Saccharomyces cerevisiae S288C: one gene and its partners. Changing the gene in region 1 together with any one later gene gives a genetic interaction. Each region holds a gene or a part of one and is shown in the gene's direction. Other genes may lie near its edges.

Region 1 (4,851 bases):
ATATATATAGTATTTTATTTCATATTCAATCTCCTAGTATACATGAAATATTTAACGCTTTTTTTTGCCCTTGTTTTTATTTTTTTTCTTTTTTGAAGCTGCAGAGTTACCATTGTTATTTTGCACAGCATTAGCTTTTTGCTTCGGTTCTGTAGCAGTTTTCTTAGCCGCAGGATCGCTCTTTTCGACATCTGTGTTGACAATTAAGGTGGCTAAACCAACAATGTCTTGGATGCTCTTACCTTTTATTTTTTTACTCGATTCTTTTATTTTGTTATTTTTCTTCTTCGACTGTGCTATTTTTTCAATTTTACCTGGAGTTATAGATACGCCTCGTGGGCCTAATGCACTAAGTAATCTTGAAACATCTTTACTCTTATTAGTAGTAAATTTATAGTTCAAGGATAAATGCGAGTTATGAGTTCTAAAGGACACTTTGGTGTCTGTCTTCTGTGTTGGTGGTTTATACGATATGGAGAAGAGCGTTTGAGATGGATTCACCTCAAAAAGGCGAACACTGTTCGTGATGTAGTTGTCAATGGGTTTCACAGACATGTTTTCCAGTTCAATTAGGTCTGTTAATTTGCTCGCGGAGGGAAGCTCTTTTATTTGGGTCAATCGAAGACAGCACAATTGAAACTTTTAGCATTGTTCTCGCGAAAATAGTCAGTTCTTAACTTTTCAAGAGTGGTGCGGCTTACCCTGCCTTCTGCCATAAGTAAAAAGTGACGCAAATAGCGGAACTATTGTCATTGTTATTGACATTAATAATCTGTATTTGTGCTCATCCGGTTCCATTTACTAGTATGCAGACGTATCTTTTTCAGCTGGACGAATTGAGGCTTTCATTAGCTAGTGTGGTAATGACAAACTCTTTGCACTGAGAAAATACTGGGGTGAGGAAACTTTTCTACCGAATTGCTTCCACATCTATCAAAGCATGATTATCAAGTATTCAAAGATCAAAGCATGATGTTTGCAAATAATAAATGTTCAGGCGTCATTTAATGTTGATAATGGTGTACGGGAAGTGACTTGTAAAAGGTAGGGGAAACCGTCAGTCTATCACTAGTGGTGTATCTGATGGAAGTGCCCTTTTATATTTTTTGCCGTACACAGGTAAAGAAATGAAAGTACTAATTATCCCCCATACTCTTTGTTTCTCTTGTGTTGTTTATGATCAATCCTTCTAATTTAATCATTCAATAACTAAATATTTAAAAAGATGTAATTGCCGCAAAAAAAACTCTCAATTATTTACTATTTTGAAACAGTCTCTCAGATAGTATGCGCCATATTGGTGTGATGATTCCTGTGAAAGCATTTTTGGGTTTGTTTAGGTGCCTTCTTTTCTTTATTTAGCATAACCGCCAATACGGAATGAAAAGTCCGTTTTAATGTACCGCTAATAATTCAAAATGCGTAAAAGAGTTTTCATAAAAAGGGTATTTGCGTCAAGCAGGAAGAAATTTTGAAAACAACTAACAGGCAACTTACAGGCATATACTGACTTTAGTAAACGTCTTCCGCTATTCTAAGAAGGAGCTGACTTGAACAAGATCTTTATTTTAACGGTGCGACAAAAACAAGGAAAGTTTACAAGCGCTAGCCGTCGAAGACGTCAATTGCACTATTACTCAGTACCGTTTTAATCCTTACCAACGTAGAATTACTATTTGTGCAGTAGGAGCCTGTGAAATGTTCAAGTCGAAAACAAGCACTTTAAGCTATGATGAAACCCCGAACTCCAACGAGGGTGATCGCAATGCAACCCCTGTAAATCCCAAAGAAAAGAGCCAAACGAAACATTTGAACATACCAGGCGACAGGAGCCGACATTCCTCTATTGCAGATTCAAAAAGAAGCTCTTCTAGATATGATGGAGGCTACTCTGCCGATATAATTCCTGCTCAATTAAGGTTCATTGATAATATAGACTACGGCACGAGGCTGAGAAAAACACTTCACAGAAACTCAGTGGTTTCAAATGGGTACAATAAACTCAGTGAGAATGACCGATGGTATTTCGACCTATTCGATAGGAAATATTTCGAAAACTATCTCGAAGAACCCACATATATTAAAATATTTAAAAAAAAGGAAGGATTAGAACAGTTTGATAGAATGTTCTTAGCTCAAGAGTTGAAAATTCCCGACGTTTACAAATCTACAACCTACCAGGGAGAACCTGCAGTTGCTAATTCAGAGCTATTCAAGAATTCAATATGCTGCTGTACGTTCAGTCATGATGGTAAGTATATGGTTATTGGTTGTAAAGATGGCTCTTTGCATCTTTGGAAAGTCATAAACTCACCAGTTAAGAGATCCGAAATGGGACGCTCAGAAAAGTCAGTCAGTGCCTCTAGAGCAAACTCACTAAAGATTCAAAGACATTTGGCGAGCATTAGTTCTCATAACGGCTCCATATCAAGTAATGATTTGAAGCCGAGCGACCAGTTTGAAGGACCTTCCAAACAATTACATTTATACGCACCGGTTTTCTATTCTGATGTGTTTAGGGTTTTTATGGAGCACGCTTTAGATATTTTGGATGCAAACTGGTCCAAAAATGGATTTCTAATAACAGCATCAATGGACAAAACTGCAAAACTATGGCACCCTGAGAGGAAATACTCATTGAAAACTTTTGTTCACCCAGATTTTGTTACATCCGCAATATTTTTTCCCAATGATGATCGTTTCATAATTACCGGATGCTTAGATCACAGGTGTAGACTGTGGTCTATACTGGACAATGAGGTTTCTTATGCCTTTGATTGCAAAGATTTGATAACATCCCTAACATTATCTCCTCCTGGTGGGGAATATACAATTATCGGTACATTCAATGGATACATTTATGTTTTACTGACACATGGATTAAAATTTGTATCTTCATTCCATGTATCTGATAAAAGCACTCAAGGAACCACTAAGAATAGCTTTCATCCATCTTCCGAATATGGAAAGGTCCAACACGGCCCTCGAATCACGGGTTTACAATGCTTCTTTTCTAAGGTGGACAAAAATTTAAGATTGATAGTTACGACAAATGATTCAAAAATTCAAATCTTTGATTTAAATGAAAAAAAACCTTTAGAGCTTTTTAAAGGATTCCAAAGTGGTTCCTCACGTCATAGAGGCCAATTCCTAATGATGAAAAATGAACCTGTAGTTTTCACGGGAAGTGATGATCATTGGTTTTATACCTGGAAAATGCAGTCCTTTAATCTTTCAGCAGAAATGAATTGCACTGCTCCGCATAGAAAGAAACGGCTGAGCGGCAGTATGAGTTTAAAAGGGCTGTTGAGAATTGTATCTAATAAGAGTACGAATGATGAATGTTTGACAGAAACGTCAAACCAAAGCAGCTCACACACATTTACCAACTCATCAAAAAATGTTCTTCAAACTCAAACTGTTGGTTCTCAAGCTATCAAAAACAATCATTATATATCATTTCATGCCCATAACTCCCCTGTCACATGTGCTTCCATTGCTCCCGACGTTGCAATTAAAAATTTGTCCTTGTCAAACGATTTGATTTTCGAACTGACTTCACAGTACTTCAAAGAAATGGGCCAAAATTATTCAGAATCTAAGGAAACATGTGATAACAAACCTAATCACCCAGTTACAGAAACAGGAGGATTCAGCTCAAACCTATCGAACGTTGTGAATAATGTTGGAACCATTCTAATAACAACAGACAGTCAAGGTCTAATCCGTGTTTTCAGAACTGATATCTTACCGGAAATACGAAAAAAAATAATAGAAAAGTTCCATGAATACAATTTATTCCACCTCGAAGCTGCTGGTAAAATCAACAACCACAACAATGACAGCATATTGGAAAATAGAATGGATGAAAGAAGTTCCACAGAGGATAATGAGTTTAGCACAACCCCACCATCTAACACGCACAATAGTAGGCCAAGCCACGATTTTTGTGAGCTGCATCCTAATAATAGCCCGGTGATTTCCGGCATGCCATCAAGAGCTAGTGCTATTTTCAAGAATTCGATCTTTAATAAATCCAATGGAAGTTTTATATCCCTAAAGTCAAGAAGTGAAAGTACGAGCTCCACGGTGTTTGGACCGCATGATATTCCGAGAGTTTCTACCACTTATCCGAAGTTGAAATGTGACGTCTGCAATGGATCTAATTTTGAATGTGCTTCCAAAAACCCCATTGCTGGCGGTGATAGCGGTTTCACGTGTGCTGATTGTGGTACAATCCTCAATAATTTCAGATAGAGAATCAGAAAGTAAGAGGAAAAACTATCTGTTCCACCGTCTTTAGATCATAAGCATGTCTGCAAATAACATAGTATTATTATTTATATCTGTAGCGATCTTTATTATTTTTCATTACTGACACATTTTCTCACAGAACCATCTACAACCCGAAAGATGCCGGAAACGGTCTTAGGCCGATGGGGTCTATTAGGGCCTACAGAGACGTCAATTGGGCTATAAGAAAAATGAAATCGAGGAAAGATTTTCCACTCTCAAATTAAGTAGGGCAAAAATATGCTTTTGTTCGCATGTGGTGTTATTCCAGTTGCGAGTCAGGGTCTGCCGATATGCTAAAGGAGGTCACGAAAACGAATCTGGCATTTAATACCTCATTAAGTTACAGCGGAATCGGCCTTCTGTTGCGGAAAAAAAAAAAAAAAAGAAAACGAACATTAAGCACCGCTGAAATTTCAAGCTGTGACTAAGTCGTCAAATGATAAATACTGCATATATATAAACTATGTGATTATATGCAACATTAAGATATACTTTCTTCTTCCATAATGCCCCCACTCCAGAACTCCATCCGAAATAGTTTTCCTTAGATTGCTA
Region 2 (3,115 bases), on another chromosome or scaffold:
AGAATTGAAGATAGCATTTCCAGAAGTAGATGATACATTAATTAAAGCCATTTTAATTGCCTCCCAAGGGGTTTTGGAGCCGGCATTCAATTCTTTACTCTACTACTCAAGTCCGGAGGAAAACACTGACTTTGCATTACCAATGAAGCCGATAAGTGTGGAAGACTATAGTAAAATAAATGTGTCTGAGATTTTGCAACGTGAAATATTCGATGATATTGAAGACGAATTTTCTGGTCAAGGAATAAATGGCTCCATGGTAATTTCAAAAATTGAATCAGAACTAAGTTCTTTGGCCGAACACATTGGCAACATTAGCACCCCCGGATCGAATAGAGAAGTCGCCGAATCGACTAGGAACGTGGCTGTTGCAGAGGGCCATAATACAATTTTATCAAACGAAGATAGTATACTCAAGGGAAAAGAGAAGGGAAAAGAGGAGGAAAAGGAGAAGGGAGAAGAAAAGGGAGTTAACAGCTTAAAAGGCGCCGCTGTGAAAGTTGTTGCGAAGTCATTGAAGAATAATCGCATTCCCGTCACTGTGAAGAGAAATGAGCCTTCAAACAATTTATTTGACGTTTTAAACTGCGACGAAAGCGAGGAAGAAGAAGAGCAAGATGTCGAAACCAATACGTCGAATCAAGAAAGGAAGAACCAGGGCGGTAATACTGAAGTGCCGGAGGCTCAGCGTGACAGTGCAGATAGGTTACCTGCCAAGGACGACGGTGGATACAAATCTGCCTTTGGCACTGATAGTTGTGGTCTATTTGCAGCTGACGCTAAAGATGAAAAAAAGCAGGTTCATCCATCTAGACAAGAATTAAGTTTTACGTAGTGTATAGCGGTAATGTTTATTAACTCTTTCGGCAAAGTGCGTTTGGGCTCGCAATGAACAGACACCACCATTGCTTCTTCTGCGCTTATTTGCCTTTGTTGTATATCTAGTTCTCAAAATGGAGTCATTCATCAGTCGATGTGTGGGCGGAAATGACGTTCATCTAGCAATGGCACACTAGTTTTTACTCAACAATTCAAACTCAATGGAAAGCCAGGAAGTTAGCGCCGGGAAACTTCAGGACAATATAAAAACAGGACTAACGGAAGAAAATAATGTGGGCCTTTTTGAGCAACGCTGACGGTAAGTAGTTTCCTACGATCGTACAATCCCGGAAAATTGTAGTGGTGCAAGAAGGGAAAAGAATGATGGCGAAAAATGCACGCGCGTAAATAATGATTTGTCGAGTCCTATTGACCACAAAACCCGCGGAAACCTAGTTAGCCCAAAAGGAAATGGATAGCATATGAAAAACGAAACGAAACGTCCTTTTGCACGGCAGAAAGAGCTTAGTAGGACCCGGGACAAATGCAAGTTAGATTCCTTGATTCCCGAATGCTCGGTCTTGCGTTTCGCCGTGGCTGCATGGAAGGTCATCGTACGGGTACGGGCAGTCTGGCTGAGTGGTGCCGCCAAAGTGCAATAGCTGTCAGTAGGGCGTGAGGAATGTAAAAGGCAAGAAAACATGTACGAGGGAAGAGAAGGGGGCAAAAGAAAGATAATAGGAACGGTGTAGATGAACTAGAAAAGGTTCAAGAGATGATAAACGTGAAGGGAGTGTCATATCTACCGACATAAAGATAGAGATCTTTTTTTTTCCTTTATTTTTTTTTTTGATTTTTTTTTTTGATTTTCTTGATATTAGTTTTTAGAAGTCCTTTGACGGGGCAGCCGGAGAATATATACCAACGGCATTCTATTGTCTTTTTTTCTTCCTTCCTTGCCAGGCATCTGCATCCATTATTGCCTTTAGTTACAATGTTTTTTTTCCCGAAGCTTAGAAAACTTATAGGTTCAACTGTGATCGATCACGATACCAAGAACTCATCAGGAAAGGAAGAGATCATGTCAAATAGCCGATTAGCACTTGTTATTATCAACCACGCCTTTGATAAGGTACTATCTTTGACGTGGCACTGCGGGATATTATCCGAAATAAGATCAGGACTGATGTTAATGTTTGGCATTTTCCAGTTGATGTGCTCTTTGGGTGTCATCGTATTGCTGTTGCCTATTATCATACTGGACGCGATCGATCTATTCCTCTACATGTGCAGGTTGCTTGATTACGGTTGCAAGTTATTCCACTACAATAGATCATCATTACCGGTGGCAGATGGAAAAGAAAAGACCAGTGGTCCCATAAGCGGAAAGGAGGAAATAGTTATTGATGAGGAGATAATTAATATGCTAAATGAATCCTCAGAATCATTGATCAATCATACTACAGCTGGTCTGGAATATGATATTAGTTCAGGTAGTGTTAACAAAAGTAGGCGTTTGAATTCAACTAGTACAGTTACATTTGTGAAGCAGAATAAACTTGTTAATGAAAGGAGGGAAGACGCCTACTACGAGGAAGAGGATGATGATTTCCTATCAAATCCGAATTATGATAAGATATCATTGATCGAAAAATCATTCACGAGTCGTTTTGAAGTGGCTTGTGAGCAGAAAGCTGCTTAAATTGATAATCAAGGTCAAGGCAACGCAACGCCACTGCTAAGAACACTTATTGCTACAGAAAGGAAACTAAAAATAATTATAAGGCTAGAGAGAAATAAAAACAAAATAAGAGAGATAATATGGGTAAGGGTCTGCCACCCATCTGATAAAAGGCTGTTCTATCTTTTGGAACTCTACAACACAGGTAAACGGATGATACTGGCTATATTTATATAGATAAACAAACTTGCAGGACAGATAGTTAAGCGTCTATATCATGTGTATTTTAAGCGAAGAAAAAAGTACAAAAATGATAAAAGGCAAAAAAGATGAGAAGTTTTTTTTGTGATAAAATTAATTATTAAAAAATACACACGTAGTTAAAATTAACAGCGGGGGAGGAAACCTTAAGAGAAAGAGAAACAAAAAAAAAGAAAGGAAACAAATAAAAATGAGGGTGACCCGAACATGTTGATACCGTTTCCTAATACTGCTTCCTTATTTCATTTGATAGTTACTTTCGTTTATTGAATGAGCTTAATCTTGTAGGACAATGTACAAGGCATATAGCATACCTGGGAACCAAGCCAAAATGGTCAAAATGATATCCACTAT
Region 3 (3,946 bases), on another chromosome or scaffold:
AAAATATAAACGCGAACTACAGAAGGTGATTACTGCTAATGATCGTTTGAGAAGAGAGAAAGAGGAGTTGAATGAAAACAGCAATAATATTCGTATCATGGAAGACAAGATGACTAGGATAAAAAAAAATTATTTGAGTGAAATCACTTCTTTACAAGAGGAAAATAGGAGACTTGAAGAACGCCTCATATTAAATGAGAGGCGTAAAGACAATGATTCAACTATGCAATTAAATGACATCATAAGCTATTATAAATTGAAGTATCACTCAGAAGTAAGACACAACAACGATCTTAAGGTGATCAATGATTATTTAAACAAGGTTCTTGCTTTGGGGACCCGTCGTTTAAGATTGGACACAAGGAAAGGTGAGCACAGTCTAAACATTTCACTTCCAGACGATGATGAACTAGATCGTGATTACTACAATAGCCATGTTTATACAAGGTATCATGACTATGAATACCCGCTTAGATTCAATTTAAACAGAAGAGGTCCCTATTTCGAACGCCGCTTAAGCTTCAAAACAGTTGCCCTTTTAGTGCTTGCTTGTGTGAGGATGAAAAGGATTGCTTTTTACAGGAGATCAGACGATAACAGATTGCGAATACTAAGAGATAGAATTGAGAGTAGCAGCGGGCGTATATCTTGGTAGTATCGCTTACTCTATCATCATATTTCTCGTATGTACATCGACTCCTACGCAGACTGATCTTCAAGCGAGCCACCGTGAATGTGGAAGCATAAACAGATGAGAAACCTTTTTGTTTCTGAGATCGTGACCTTAGATTGTAGTGTGCTAATCTCCCTAGTATTGACTACTTTGCGTTTATTCATTTCTTTCTCCAATAGAAATACAGCATAAAACATACGTAGGGTATATCTATGTATGTGGTATATTTGTATTATAAGTTACTTAGATTTACTGGCGCCCTTTTTTAAGCTATTGTAATTATTTACGGCCTCTGCGATTCTTTCCTTGAAAGTATCTGTTATTATCGCCAGTTGGTTTAACATTTCATAGTGATTTTCCAACGTATCGCATTTTTCAAGGAGTTCTTTGAACTTCGCAATATTTTTATCTATGGTGTTTTCAATAATACCATTCACCATCACTTCATTTTGTTTTTTACATAGCTCCGTAGTATCCAATTGTATACTCTGTACATAGTCTCTCATTTTATAAAGTAAGTAATCGTAGTCGACTGTCAATTTATCAATTCCAAGAGGATCGTCACCAGCCGAAGCCGACTCTCTGGAATGACTTGAGTTGTCTTGCATTCTAAATAAGGCCAACTAACCTAGTTGAATATACTGCTAATGAATGCTAAAATACACAAATTTCATGTAAAAAAACCCCGCGAATTTTGTGTTATGGTTAAAAAATAACTGTAACTGAAATTACCCAAATTGGAGAAAACTTGTTAAGTCCTTATTTTAGCTACTGTGGATGGCTCCCTCTGTGGAAATAGCAGCAATTTTGGCCATTTACCATGTTCTAGAAAACGGCTAAAAAACAAATAATGACCCCGAATATTTTAAATCGCAAAACCTAAAATAACCTGCTATTTAACTCAATAACCTATGACAGATTAGCAAAAAGCCCTAAAATTTATAACTTAAAACCTAATGGTATTTTTAAAGGGGTGAATATTGCGCATAACCATTTCAAGTTAAAAACCCTTATATCATTATATAAAAAATATCTTAATAAAGAAGCAATTTGGGACAAGTCACTACTTCAAGTATAACCCAGACAAGAGTCTTTTAAAATGCCACAAAGAATTGAGCTTACCTCCGAACCAGTCAGAAAACCGCGGTCTACTGAGAGCTCACTACTCAGAAAGATACAAAGAGCGTGTAGATCCACATTGCCTGAACCAGATTTGGGCTTGAACTTAGATGTAGCTGACTATATCAACTCAAAGCAAGGAGCAACCCCTAGAGAGGCTGTGTTAGCAATTGAAAAATTGGTCAATAATGGGGACACGCAAGCAGCTGTTTTTGCACTTTCACTACTAGACGTGCTGGTAAAAAATTGTGGTTACTCTATACATTTGCAAATCTCCAGGAAGGAATTCTTAAATGATCTAGTGAAAAGATTTCCAGAGCAACCACCATTGAGATATTCCAAGGTGCAACAAATGATTCTTGAAGCCATCGAGGAATGGTACCAAACCATCTGCAAACATGCCAGCTACAAAGATGATCTTCAATATATCAACGACATGCATAAATTACTGAAATACAAGGGTTATACTTTCCCAAAAGTTGGGAGTGAAAACTTGGCGGTGTTGAGACCGAATGACCAACTGAGGACACCTAGTGAGCTACAGGAAGAACAGGAAAGAGCTCAAGCTGCAAAACTAGAAGAGCTGCTAAGAAGCGGCAAGCCCGATGATTTGAAAGAAGCTAATAAACTGATGAAAATTATGGCGGGATTTAAGGATGACACTAAAGTAGCAGTCAAACAAGCAATTAACAATGAACTAAATAAACTCAAAAGAAAAGCTGATTTATTCAACGAAATGTTGACTTCAGCCGATGAGCCTGATCTTGAAAATGAAGCTATTCAAGAATTGTATGGCGACTTAAAATCAGCGCAGCCGAAATTCAAAAAGCTTATTGAGGAAGAACGCGATGACGATGCGCTTGTTAGTAATCTATCAAAATTTAACGATCTAGTGATCCAATTGTTAAAAAGGTACAAGTCAATAAAAGGTATGAAGGAAGAAGAACTAAATGTCCCCGATACGAATGAACCGGCAAAAGAGCTTAATTTGATAGATTTTGATGACGATACAACAGCAAACACTCCATCTGTGACATCTCCAAGCAAATCTTTGCAACCTTTTGACGATCTTTTAGGGGATTTTAATAAGGTAAGTTTATCATCCCCAAAGTCTCCTCAAGAAAACGACACTGTTGTTGATATACTTGGTGACGCTCACTCAAAGTCATCTGGTATAGATTTATTAGATTTTGATTCGCAACCTGGAGAAAGTAAAACCGCTCTGTCCGCATATTCTAACTCGATTGTTCTACCTAATGGTTTACTAAATAGTTCAAGTAACTCCAAGGAAATCACAGCTCAATCGCAAAGACATATACTTAACCAATCGGATCACTTACGCATTGATTACGAATTAACTCGTGAGTCGATGACAAAACTACGATTAGTTATCTTCTATTCAAACATAAGCAGTGATCCAATAACTAATTTTGCACTTTTAGTGGCATCACCTAAAGGCACGACATTGTCTCTGCAACCGCAATCGGGCAATATGCTCCAAAGTAACTCCAGAGATGGTATCAAACAGATTGCTTCCGTAGAGGGTATATCTGTTAATTTAGGTAAGCCCATAAAATTGAAATGGAAGGCTAATTACTGCACCAAGGGTGATTCGAAGGAAGAATCGGGCACGACCAGTTTGCCCACAATATAATCAAATTCGGTAGAGAAGTTGAAAAAAAAGTAGATGCCATATTATATTACAGAGAACAGAGTGTTACGCCAACATACTAAACCAGAGAAGTAAAACGTTTTACTTATATATAATAGTATTCGTAAATTTATAAAAATCAAAAAACCAATATAAGCCTGGTTAAAAAAAAAAAAAGATCAGTATCGTAAAGTCGTAAAGTTAGGTCATTGTTTTTGGAACCTTTGTAAAATCTCCTGTGGAGTTGGTGACTTTATCCTTGGAGCAGAATTAATGTTAGAAATATTGGAAAGAGAAGATTGAGATGGAGATGATTTCGGTGGCGGAGCTTGAGACCCTGGTTGTAGTTGCTGCAGTTGCTGCACATGACTGGACTCCTCCTGTAACTGCTGCCTTTGCTGTTGAATCTGGTGCTGCTTTAGCTGTTGCTGTTGTTCTCTCAAGGTTCTATAATAGTTTTTTGCCGCCTTAAGGGCCATCTCAGGACCAATGTCTGGTTTTTG
Region 4 (3,102 bases), on another chromosome or scaffold:
GAAGAACTTTCCGAATACTATAAAACGTTAAATGAAACGCCTTTACCGTTATGCACAGAATCTAGAACATCAATAAATATATCAGATAACCAATCTTCCTTGAAAAGGTTCTCTACTCTAGGATCACGGGAATTTAGTACATCAAATTTACGTAGTGTTAACTCTAATTCTACTACACTATATTCAAGAGATGGTCAAGTATCTGTACGAGAAATGAGCGCAAAATCAAATAAAAACTTTCACAATAATCACCCCATGGATGCACTCTACCTTAAAGAGTCTTTTGATGACGGTTTAATTACCGAAAACGGCTCCAGTTGGTTCATGGACGATTTAATTCTTATAAGCAAGAAATCTTTACCACGTAAATATTCTAAAAGAGACAAAGATCAAGTGGCGGCACCAAAAATGACCTCTAAGAGAAACAAATCGTTCTTCGGATGGCTAAAACCATCTAAAACGACTACACTTATTGAGCACACATCTAGAAGGACTTCTTTATCGTATTTGAATAAGGATTCTGAATGGGAGAGGGTGAAAATACAGGTCAAGGAGGGCAGAATTTTTATTTTCAAAATTAAACCAGATGTTAAGGATATCATCCAATCAAGTGAAACAGACAGTGCTACCATCGACTATTTCAAAGATATCAGTAGCTCTTATTTTGCTTACTCACTGCTTGAAGCTGAAGCACATGTCGTGCAAGATAATATAATTATAGGTAGTGGAGCAATGAAATCAAATGTGTGTAACAAAAACACCAAGAGGAAAAGTGGCAACTTTACCGTTAGTTTTCCAGAGAATATCAACGGACCAAAGCTTGTTCTGGAGTTCCAGACGAGAAGTGTTGAAGAAGCCCACAAGTTTATGGACTGTATCAACTTCTGGGCAGGTAGGATTTCTCCAGTTCCTTTAACACAATTCGAAGCCGTATCTAACGCAGAATATGGATGGAGTGACAAGATCTTGACAGAGCACGCTTCCCTCAATCTTAAAAATATTGTTGTAAGTGAATGGAAGCCACTATTGGGGCTAGAGCTACTATACGAAGATGCGAAAGATGTAGAGATGGTCGAACTAAAAGAAAGGCTAAAGGAATTGATGAACTTCACCAGACAGCTTGGTATATGGATAGATAAACATAACGAAATAAAGGATAAGCTGGTCGAAATTTGGAGCTTTGACGATAACTATTTTGAAGCAGTCATGAATAATTGGAATTCGAGATATTTGTATATGAATAATCAATATAAGAAACGACTGAGCTACTTGAAAGCTTTGCAAAAAGCCATGGGTTCTGTTCAGTTCTAAGTATATTTAAAGATATAAATATAAAGACTGCGCTGAAGAAATATAAACTTGAAAACTGTACTCTGCCTTTTATTTACAAGGGATATTGAGATGATTTGTGTGAATGAAGTAGCGACAGAAAAAAAGCTTTTATTTCGAGTTCGCATCATTGTCACTTTCCTGCTTTTTCTTGGCGTACTGTCTATCTAAGATAGTCTTTAATATAGCGTCCTCGCCATATTCTTCTTCCTCAATTTTCTTCCATCTCTTTTCTACATCAGCTCTCTTTATTCTACTTTCAATGACAGCACGTTTCTTGTTATTCAAACTTGCCTCCTTGAGACACTTGTTCAAAGCATCCTTTTCGTTGTTACAAAGGCCAAATATTCTCTTGTAATATTCCTTTTGATGGCATTTATCGAGTGCATTGATGAAGTCCAAACAGGCTAAAATGAAGAAGGGGAGAATACAATGTTAGTAAGTCGGAGCACAGAAAAAGGCAAATATATGAAGTAAAATCTGGATACTTACAATGAAAACGTTCAGCTTCTAACTGTGGATGCATGTTGTAGTACTTGTCTTATCTTGCTTTTGTTCAACTGCACTTGTAAATCAGTGAATGTTATTGGACGCGCAGCGATTTTTTAATAGGTCTTTCTCTATTAATGTAATATGCGAATTGAAACATAATGTAAACACAAGAAGAAAATTCGAAATAAAGGACTGGCCAACAATAATGTTAGTGAGCAGAAACGACAAGCCCAAAATCAGTAGTGAGGAAGTCACACATTTTATAGACGACTATAAAAAGAGGAGGAAAACTCAGATGACACGATTCTTCGGAATCACTATTTTTACACTTATAACATGTAGAATTGCCATGAAGAAAATGATAACTGCAAAAGGTATGCATAGGCAATAACTTCGGCCTCATACTCAAAGAACACGTTTACTAACATAACTTATTTACATAGTGCCATTGAACACTTTTCAAGCAAACTACGCCAGCCGGACGCAGACAATAACACACACACAAAAGAGTCTTGCAGGTTCTCTTTTAGCGGCAACGGGCATGACACTAGGTATATTTGGTATGGGCATCACAGGGACATGTTGGAGCTGGGATGTTTCATCATTTCAGGAACTAAAGCAACGTCTGGAAAGGCGTGCCAACAACGAATTTGTAGTGACAAACATGCCTCTGGATAAAAGAAGCCAGCAAGTAGTGGACAGCTTAGTTAAGACACACAATTCATCTCTTTGTAAATAGTGTTATACCATAGTAGTAGTTTCAATAATATATTCCACTACTTATATGTGTTACCCGCATTAGAACTCTTATTGGTGGCGAAAATCGATGGCAATAAAGAACGGAAGGGGTTTAATAGTTGTATGCTTAACATATTTCGATTTAAATATATAAGAAACGTCGGTAGCACAACAATTAACTCATTATTTAGGTATGGCGGAAATACCTGATGAAACCATCCAGCAGTTCATGGCATTGACCAATGTGTCGCATAACATAGCCGTTCAATATCTCTCTGAATTTGGAGATTTAAATGAAGCACTAAATTCCTATTATGCTTCTCAAACGGATGACCAAAAGGATAGAAGAGAGGAAGCACATTGGAACAGACAGCAGGAGAAGGCCCTCAAGCAAGAAGCCTTCTCCACCAACTCTTCGAATAAAGCCATAAATACGGAGCACGTTGGTGGGTTATGTCCAAAACCAGGATCCTCACAAGGTAGCAACGAGTACTTGAAAAGGAAAGGTTCTACCTCTCCTGAACCAACCAAGGGTAGTAGCCG

Evidence for each region.
Region 2: mutations in DGR2 (region 1) and TLD1 together harm fitness more than expected from each alone (negative genetic interaction), as found in Saccharomyces cerevisiae (one large-scale study listed by BioGRID).
Region 3: mutations in DGR2 (region 1) and GGA1 together harm fitness more than expected from each alone (negative genetic interaction), as found in Saccharomyces cerevisiae (one large-scale study listed by BioGRID).
Region 4: mutations in DGR2 (region 1) and IAI11 together harm fitness more than expected from each alone (negative genetic interaction), as found in Saccharomyces cerevisiae (one large-scale study listed by BioGRID).

Annotation. Positions count from the first base shown.
Region 1 is NC_001143.9:212,444-217,294, forward strand, and holds DGR2 (Dgr2p), read left to right. Parts: upstream 1-1,698; coding exon 1,699-4,257; downstream 4,258-4,851. Other genes in the region: signal recognition particle subunit SRP21, read right to left, coding at 52-555.
Region 2 is NC_001136.10:1,010,439-1,013,553, forward strand, and holds TLD1 (triglyceride-associated lipolysis regulator TLD1), read left to right. Parts: upstream 1-1,813; coding exon 1,814-2,521; downstream 2,522-3,115. Other genes in the region: DON1 (Don1p), read left to right, coding at 1-835; YDR274C (uncharacterized protein), read right to left, coding at 1,151-1,522; PMP3 (Pmp3p), read right to left, coding at 3,038-3,115.
Region 3 is NC_001136.10:1,188,287-1,192,232, forward strand, and holds GGA1 (ubiquitin-binding protein), read left to right. Parts: upstream 1-1,772; coding exon 1,773-3,446; downstream 3,447-3,946. Other genes in the region: SPC110 (Spc110p), read left to right, coding at 1-655; CNL1 (Cnl1p), read right to left, coding at 913-1,281; EAF1 (Eaf1p), read right to left, coding at 3,650-3,946. UniProt on the Saccharomyces cerevisiae protein: May play a role in the regulation of membrane traffic through the trans-Golgi network.
Region 4 is NC_001134.8:108,685-111,786, forward strand, and holds IAI11 (Iai11p), read left to right. Parts: upstream 1-1,909; coding exon 1,910-2,195; intron 2,196-2,264; coding exon 2,265-2,560; downstream 2,561-3,102. Other genes in the region: Arf family guanine nucleotide exchange factor YEL1, read left to right, coding at 1-1,311; CMC2 (Cmc2p), read right to left, coding at 1,441-1,736, 1,822-1,855; protein phosphatase regulator SHP1, read left to right, coding at 2,753-3,102.